Linked DNA regions of Oryctolagus cuniculus. The protein of the gene in region 2 interacts with the protein of the main gene of each other region in a biochemical or structural test. Links are inferred from orthologs where the notes say so. Each region holds a gene or a part of one and is shown on either strand. Other genes may lie near its edges.

Region 1 (4,144 bases), on a different chromosome or scaffold from region 2:
GTTTTTGGGAGGAGAGAGACAGGGAGGTGGCGATGCTGAACACTGGCCATTTCTCCCGGGTCGATGGTCATCCTCATGGCACCTGCTAGGTACAGGCCACCTACCAAGATTTGCATGGGTCAGGGTTGGGACCCCTGGGAACAGAGAGGAAGGGCAGGTGTTGTGGTGCAGTGGGTTAAGCTGCTGCTTGTGGTATGGGCATCCCATATCCAAGTGCCAGTGCCTCGCTTCCGATCCAGCTCCCTGCTGCTTGTACCTGGGAAGGCAGCAGAAGATGGCCCAAGTACTTGGGTCCCTGCTACCCATGTAGGAAACCCAAAAAGAGTGCCTAGATCCTGGCTTCAGCCTGGCACAGCCCTTGATGCTGCAGCGATTTAGTGAGTGAACCAATAAATGGAAAACATCTCTCTCTCTTTCTCTCCCTATTGCTATGCCTTTCAAATAAATAAAACTTTTTTTTTTCAAAAATGAATGCTTTAAAAAAAGAACACAAGGGAAAATAGGTACTTAGCTCCTGCTTGAGAGCTCACTACCTCCTGGGTGAGCCCAGTCCATTTGCATAAAATGTTTCAGCCAAAAACCTGCTGCTTCCAAACTCTCCACGATCTGGGCCAGCTTAGAACAGAGTTGGTCATTCATTCACTCTTTCTTTCATTCACCTGTACTGGCGTGTCCTGGGGGCCAGGTCTTGCACCAGGCTCGGGGGCCACAGCCCTGCCCTTGGGAAATTGTGTGCTAGAATGGTATTGCAAAGCCAGGTGCATGGGGCTGCGGATTTAAATGGTGTGGATTAAGAAAAGGATTCCAGGTTCAAGCAGGCTTGGAAACCATTTGATCAAACACAGTTAAATAGGCTCATTTGCTACAAGATTTCCCCAAGCCTTTAATAGGCAAATGCTCACAGAGAATCCTCAGGATGTAGGTGTGTGATAATAGAAAGTATACTATGCTTCCCAAATATAGCCTGTCTTGGAACACATCTTTTTTAAAACATCATACTTGTTCATAGAGAGTATTTGAGGAAATCTTTCTCCAGCGCTAGGTTTTTGGCTGGTGGTGCTGGGGGAAGGCTTCATGGGGCGGGGGACACTGTGTAGGGTTTGGGGAGCTGAATGGCTCATCAGCAAGGTTTAAGGAAGATCAGTTACAGTTCTCCTCTGCTTGCCAAAACACCTGATGGCAATGATGAGCGAAGGGAGCCATCAAAAGCCCCGGAGGCCATCTCCCCTCCCTCAACTCCAGGCACCTCCGCTCTGGGTCTCCTTCTCCAAGTCTTTCATCTTCAAGCCTCAACCTGGCCCCTTCCTCTGGTTTACATCCAATACGGTTCTTACAGGTGTCCGACCTTGACTGTGCAGCCTTACAGAGCCGGGCCTCACCTAGGCACCCAAACGCCCCACTCTGACCCCTCTCAGGTTTACCCGCATCCCCCCCGCCCTCCCCCGGCCCAGAACAACGGAGCCCGGGTACTGATGCAGCCATACCTGATTCAGGTGCTGCCCTAGAGGCGCTCCTCCCAACCCGGCCCCCTCAGCTCCTCGCGGCGGCCCCGACCCCTGACAGCCGCCCCGCCTTCGCCTGGCCTTCCTCGGGCTTGGCCCCCTGGCTGCCCCAAGCCGGGCACTTGCTCAGCTCTGCTGTCCCGTGACTGCGCCGCCTCACCCCACCCTCGCCCTCTCCCCCACCCCGGGCCCGCCCCTACTCCAGGTCAATCTCAGATCCAACCTGGCAGAGACAGCCCGAGGCCCCGCCCCCGAGGCCCCGCCCCTTGCCGCTGCCCCACCCCGGATTAATCCTGATAGGCCCCGACCTCGCCGGCGGCCCCGCCCCGAGACACCTCCGAAGGGGCCGTGCCCGCGGGCCGGCCCCGCCCCCGCCCCGGGCCGGCCGGGCAGCGCACCTGCAGCTCCTCGAAGGCGTCGTCGATGCCGGTGACCTGGTGCTGCTCGTGCAGCGCGGGCTCGTCGCAGAAGAAGCAGAGCAGCGCGCGGTCCGTGAGGCAGAAGAGCTTGACCTTGTCGTGCGCCTGGCAAGGCCGCGCTGCGCGGCGCGCGTTGAGGATGGCGTCCAGCGGGAAGGCGCTGTAGCGCTCCACGATGTTGGCCAGCTTGAGGCTGGGCGCCAGTGCGGGCTCGGCGAAGGTGCGCCGACACTCGGGGCAGTCGCGGGCGCCCTGCGCCTCCTGCCGCACCCAGTGCTCGGTGATGCAGCGGCGGCAGAAGTAGTGCTCGCAGCCCAGGCTCACCGGGTCCTGGTAGATGCTCAGGCAGATGGAGCACAGCAGCTCGTCCTTGAGGCTGCACGCCATGGCGCCGGGGGCGGCGGGGGCGCGCGGGCGAGCGCGGCGCGGCCGGGGCTGCCCAGGGAGGGGCGAGGGGACCAGGATCGCGGAGGAGGGGGTGCCGTCCGGGAGGGGCGGCGCGGGAAGGGTTAAGGGTAGAGACCGCCTGGGATGAGCGCCCGGGGTGGGGGGCGGTCCGAGGTGATGGGTGGCCCCGAGAGCCAGGAGCAGCAGGAGGGGGGTACCTGGCGAGCGAGTTATGTGGGGAACGGGCAGTCCTAAGGGAGGAGTGCTGGGAGCAGGGGACTCGGGAGTGGGGGCGGAGGCCTGGGGGGGCTGAAATCCGGGGATGGGGGCAGTGGGGGGAGGGGGAGAGGCTGGGAATGGGGAGTCCAGGGGGAGGGGGCAGCCAGGCTGAGGAGCACAGCGGCTGTGCTCTGCAGGAGAGAGGAGAGGCGCCGGCCTGCTCCACTGCCCGAGCCCCGGCCCGGCGCGGTCCCTTACCCCGCCGGCTCAGCAGCCACCGCTTCGGTCCAGCGCAGCCTCTCAACCCGGAACCAGCCGAGCCCGAGCTGCCGGCGGCCGCGACTCCCTCCCCGCCCCCGTGGGCGGGACCCGAGCGACTCCGCCCCCGAGGCGGGCGGGGGGAGGGGTGGGGCGGCCCGCCCCCCACCCCCCCACGCGGCTGCTCCTGGAAGCGCCAGCCCAGCTGTTCTGTAGGGTCTGCACAGGGAGGGCGTCTAGGTCTCTCCTGGAGTCCTTTCCAGGGGCTGGGGTGGGGGAGGAGGAAACAGGTAATTGCAGAGGGCAAGGAATAAACAAGGAGCGTCTTTCCGGATCATCAGTTTGAAGAGTTGGGAAAAAAAATCAGGTTTTATATTGAAACAAACAAGGATATGTTATGTACTCCGCACAGCGCGCAATTTTTGCCTGAAATAAAAAGGTGAATCTTGAGAGATACCCTCAGCAGCAAGTTCAAGGCCCTCACACTCCAAAGCGTATCTGGGGGAGAAGTTCAGAAAGCCCCGGCTAATGTCCATCCCGTTGGGCAAACATTTCTGCATGTGTGTAAGGGGGAGGGGGTGGCTCAGGAGCAGAAAGCATAACAGGAGCCCACGTCTGGTGTGCCAGATGGAGGGGATAGGGGATTACCAACGGGCGAGGCGCGAAAGGGGAGAACTTAGGGCGGTGGGGTGGGGAAGGGCCTTGGGGGCGTGGGCAGCCTTGAGAGTGGCACTGGGCTCTCTGCAGGGAAACGACCTGGCCAGATCTGGGTTTCAGGAGGTGCTCACCGTGGCGTCGCAAGGTGAAGGCAGGGACCAGGGCCTTGCTCTGATGGGTGTGTGCAAAGAGCTCAGGACACCACAAAGGTGCACAGCTGAGTAGCAGCAGCAGTGGCAGCGGCTGCGAGGGTTGGGGGGGAGGGAACAACACCGGGCCCCAGGGAGGTTGCGGTTGCCATAGTGCTTGTGGGAGGTGAGACCTGAGACCTCCAGCAGTGGGTAAGGAGAGAGGACGGGGCCATTGTGACTGCATTTGGAGGTGCGGGAGAGGAGGGAGTCAGCCCCCCCCTTCCGCCTCCTTTAGCAACGTCTTCCCTGGACTGAACTTGACTGAGGCATGGCTGAAGAAGCCGCTCTTAGTTCCCTGCTGCCTGCCAGCCCTTCATCACACAGTCCCCTGGCCCAGTGTCCCCAGCCTCGCTGGAAACAGGCTGTGGGCTCGAGCAGCAGGCACTGCTCCTCCTGGCCGTCGGAGCCTGCTTCTGTGCAGATGGATCCCACGGCGTACGCTGACACGCACCCCTGTTTCCTTCCTTCCAGCAAGCAGGTTAAGGGCTAGGTTGCTGAAGCGTTTGAAATT
Region 2 (2,924 bases):
CCCCACTGCCCGGCCTGGGGTGGGCCTGGAACCCCACTGCCCGGCCTGGGGTGGGCCTGGGACCCCACTGCGCGGCCTGGGGTGGGCCTGGGGGGCAGGGGTCAGGAGCCGGGCCTGGGACCCCACTGCCCGGCCTGGGGTGGGCCTGGGACCCCATTGTCCAGCCTGGGGTGGGCCTGGGACCCCACTGCCCCGCCTGGGGTGGGCCTGGGGGGCAGGGGCCAGGAGCCGGGCCTCGGACCCCACTGCCCCGCCTGGGGTGGGCCTGGAGGCAGGGGCCAGGAGCCGGGCCTGGGACCCCACTTCCCGGCCTGGGGTGGGCCTGGAGGCAGGGGCCAGGAGCCGGGCCTGGGACCCCACTGCCTGGCCTGGGGTGGGCCTGGGGGGCAGGGGCCAGGAGCCGGGCCTGGGACCCCACTGCCCGGCCTGGGGTGGGCCTGGAGGCAGGGGCCAGGAGCCGGGCCTGGGACCCCACTGCCTGGCCTGGGGTGGGCCTGGGACCCCATTGTCCAGCCTGGGGTGGGCCTGGGACCCCACTGCCCGGCCTGGGGTGGGCCTGGGGGGCAGGGGCCAGGAGCCGGGCCTGGGACCCCACTGCCCGGCCTGGGGTGGGCCTGGAGGCAGGGGCCAGGAGCCGGGCCTGGGACCCCACTGCCTGGCCTGGGGTGGGCCTGGGACCCCACTGTCCAGCCTGGGGTGGGCCTGGGACCAAATTGCCCGGCCTGGGGTGGGCCTTGGGGGCAGGGGCCAGGAGCCGGGCCTGGGACCCCACTGCCTGGCCTGGGGGTGGGGGCTGCAGGCCTGGGACCCCACTGCCTGGCGTGGGGGTGGGGGCTGCAGGCCTGGGACCCCACTGCCTGGCCTGGGGTGGGCCTGGGGGGCAGGGGTCAGGAGCCGGGCCTGGAACCCCACTGCCTGGCCTGGGGGTGGGGGCTGCAGGCCTGGGACCCCACTGCCTGGCGTGGGGGTGGGGGCTGCAGGCCTAGGACCCCGCTGCCCGGCCTGGGGTGGGCCTGGTGGGCAGGGGTCGAGGGCCACAGGCTGGGTGCCCCACTGCCCGGCTTGGGGTGGGCCTTGGGGGCAGGGGCCAGGAGCCGGGCCTGGGACCCCACTGCCTGGCCTGGGGGGTGGGGGCTGCAGGCCTGGGACCCCACTGCCTGGCCTGGGTGGACTTGGGGGGACAGGGGCTATGAACCAGGCATGGGACCCCGTTGCCCAGTCTGGGGGGTGGGGAATGCAGGCCTAGGACCCCGCTGCCCGGCCTGGGGTGGGCCTGGTGGGCAGGGGTCGAGGGCCACAGGCTGGTTGCCCCACTGCCTGGCTTGGGGGACGGCGGGGGCCGCAAGCCATGCTGGGGACCCTTCTGCCCGGCCCGGGGGTGGGGAACGCAGGCCTGGGGCCCGGCTGCTGGCCCGGGGGCGGGCTGACCGGCAGCCGCGTGCAGGTGGACGGGCTCCGGCACAGCCTCCTGCGGGCGGAGGAGGACTGCACGGTGGAGCGCAAGCACACGCTGCGGCTGCGGCGCGCCATGGAGCAGCGGCCGAGCCAGGAGCTGCTGTGGGAGCTGCAGCAGCAGAAGGCCCAGCTGGAGGCGCGCGTGCAGGACCTGGAGGCCGCGGCGCAGGTGGGGGCGCCGGGCGCCGGGCGGGCGGGGGCGGGTGGGCGCCGGGCGCCGGGCGGGCGGGGGCGGGCGGGGGCGGAGCCGCGCGGGACGGCCGCTCTGTGTCCAGCAGGGGACGCGGGAGCGGAGCAGCCCCTACGTCCAGGTGCTGGAGGAGGAGTGGCGGCAGGTGCTGCGTGACCACCAGGAGCAGGCCGGCACCGTCTTCTCCCTGCGCAAGGAGCTGCGCCAGGCCGAGGCCCTCCGCGCCCGGGTAGGAGGCGGGGCCCTGGGGGCCGGGCGCCCTCCCCGCGGGGCGCTGAGCGGCCGTCCCCACAGTGCGCGGAGGAGAAGGAGGTGTTGGACCTGCAGTGCCAGGCCCTGCGCAAGGACGCCCGGCTCTACAAGGAGCGCATGGAGGCCGTGCTGCAGCAGATGGAGGAGGTGGCCCTGGAGCGGGACCAGGTGTGTGGGGGCCCAGTGCCCTCCCCGCTCTCGGGGTCTCCCTCGGTGCGCCCCTCGGCCACGATGCACCCTCAGGGAGCTGCTCTAACACAGAAACCAGCACCTGGGGGGGGGGCCCTGGGGGCGGAGGAGGACTTGCACACACACACACACACACACAAAGAAGAAGAGCGGCCGGGACTCGGAGGCAGGCAGCGGCAGGGCTGGTAGGCGGGACCTCTGGCTGCCTCTGGGTGGCCCAATAGGGACAAAAATGGATCAAGTCCCGGCCGCGGGGGCGCTGATGGGCCCAGACTCTGCCCTGCCCCTGCCCGTGGCCCTGTTCCCTCTGTGTGTCGGTGTCCCACGGCTGGCCGGCCCCCAGTGGGGACAGGCGGGCGTCTCACACAGCACAGACCATCATGCTCCTTGTTTTTGAGATTTTATCTCTTTGAGAGGTAGAGAGAGAGAGAGAGGTAGAGAGGTCTTCCATCTGCTGGTTCACTGCCCAGATGGCCGCAATGGCCAGAGCTGCATTGATCCGAAGCCAGGAGCCTCCTCCAGGTCTCCCACGCGGGTGCAGGGCCCAAGGCCTTGGTCCATCCTCCACTGCTTTCCCAGGCCACATCACAGAGCTGGATCGCAAGTGGAGCAGCCGGGACAAGAACCGGCGCCCATGTGGGATGCCGCCCTGCAGGCTTTAACCGCTGCGCCACAGTGCCAGTTCTTAAGCTTTGCTTATTTGCGGGCAGTGGCAGCTCTTCCATCTGGTTCGCCCCCACTGCCTGCAACACCCGGGGCTGGGCCAGGCTGAGGCCAGCCCCAGGGGCTCCGTCCGGGTCTCCCCCACAGCGGGCAGGGCCCAGTACCCCCAGGTGCG

Evidence for each region.
Region 1: of the proteins of CARD9 (region 2) and TRIM62, one has a biochemical effect on the other in vitro, tested with the Homo sapiens proteins (4 studies listed by BioGRID, with this or other methods). The link is inferred for Oryctolagus cuniculus from reciprocal best matches to the Homo sapiens genes CARD9 and TRIM62.

The regions. Positions count from the first base shown.
Region 1 is NC_091438.1:139,416,661-139,420,804, reverse strand, and holds the start of TRIM62 (E3 ubiquitin-protein ligase TRIM62), read right to left. Parts: upstream 2,880-4,144; 5' UTR 2,309-2,879; coding exon 1,901-2,308; intron 1-1,900. UniProt on the Homo sapiens protein: E3 ubiquitin ligase that plays a role in antifungal immunity by mediating 'Lys-27'-linked ubiquitination of CARD9 downstream of C-type lectin receptors; leading to CARD9 activation, followed by activation of NF-kappa-B and MAP kinase p38 pathways.
Region 2 is NC_091432.1:236,667,422-236,670,345, forward strand, and holds part of CARD9 (caspase recruitment domain-containing protein 9), read left to right. Parts: intron 1-1,444; coding exon 1,445-1,624; intron 1,625-1,730; coding exon 1,731-1,874; coding exon of another isoform or gene 1,875-1,939; coding exon 1,940-2,065; intron 2,066-2,924. UniProt on the Homo sapiens protein: Adapter protein that plays a key role in innate immune response against fungi by forming signaling complexes downstream of C-type lectin receptors.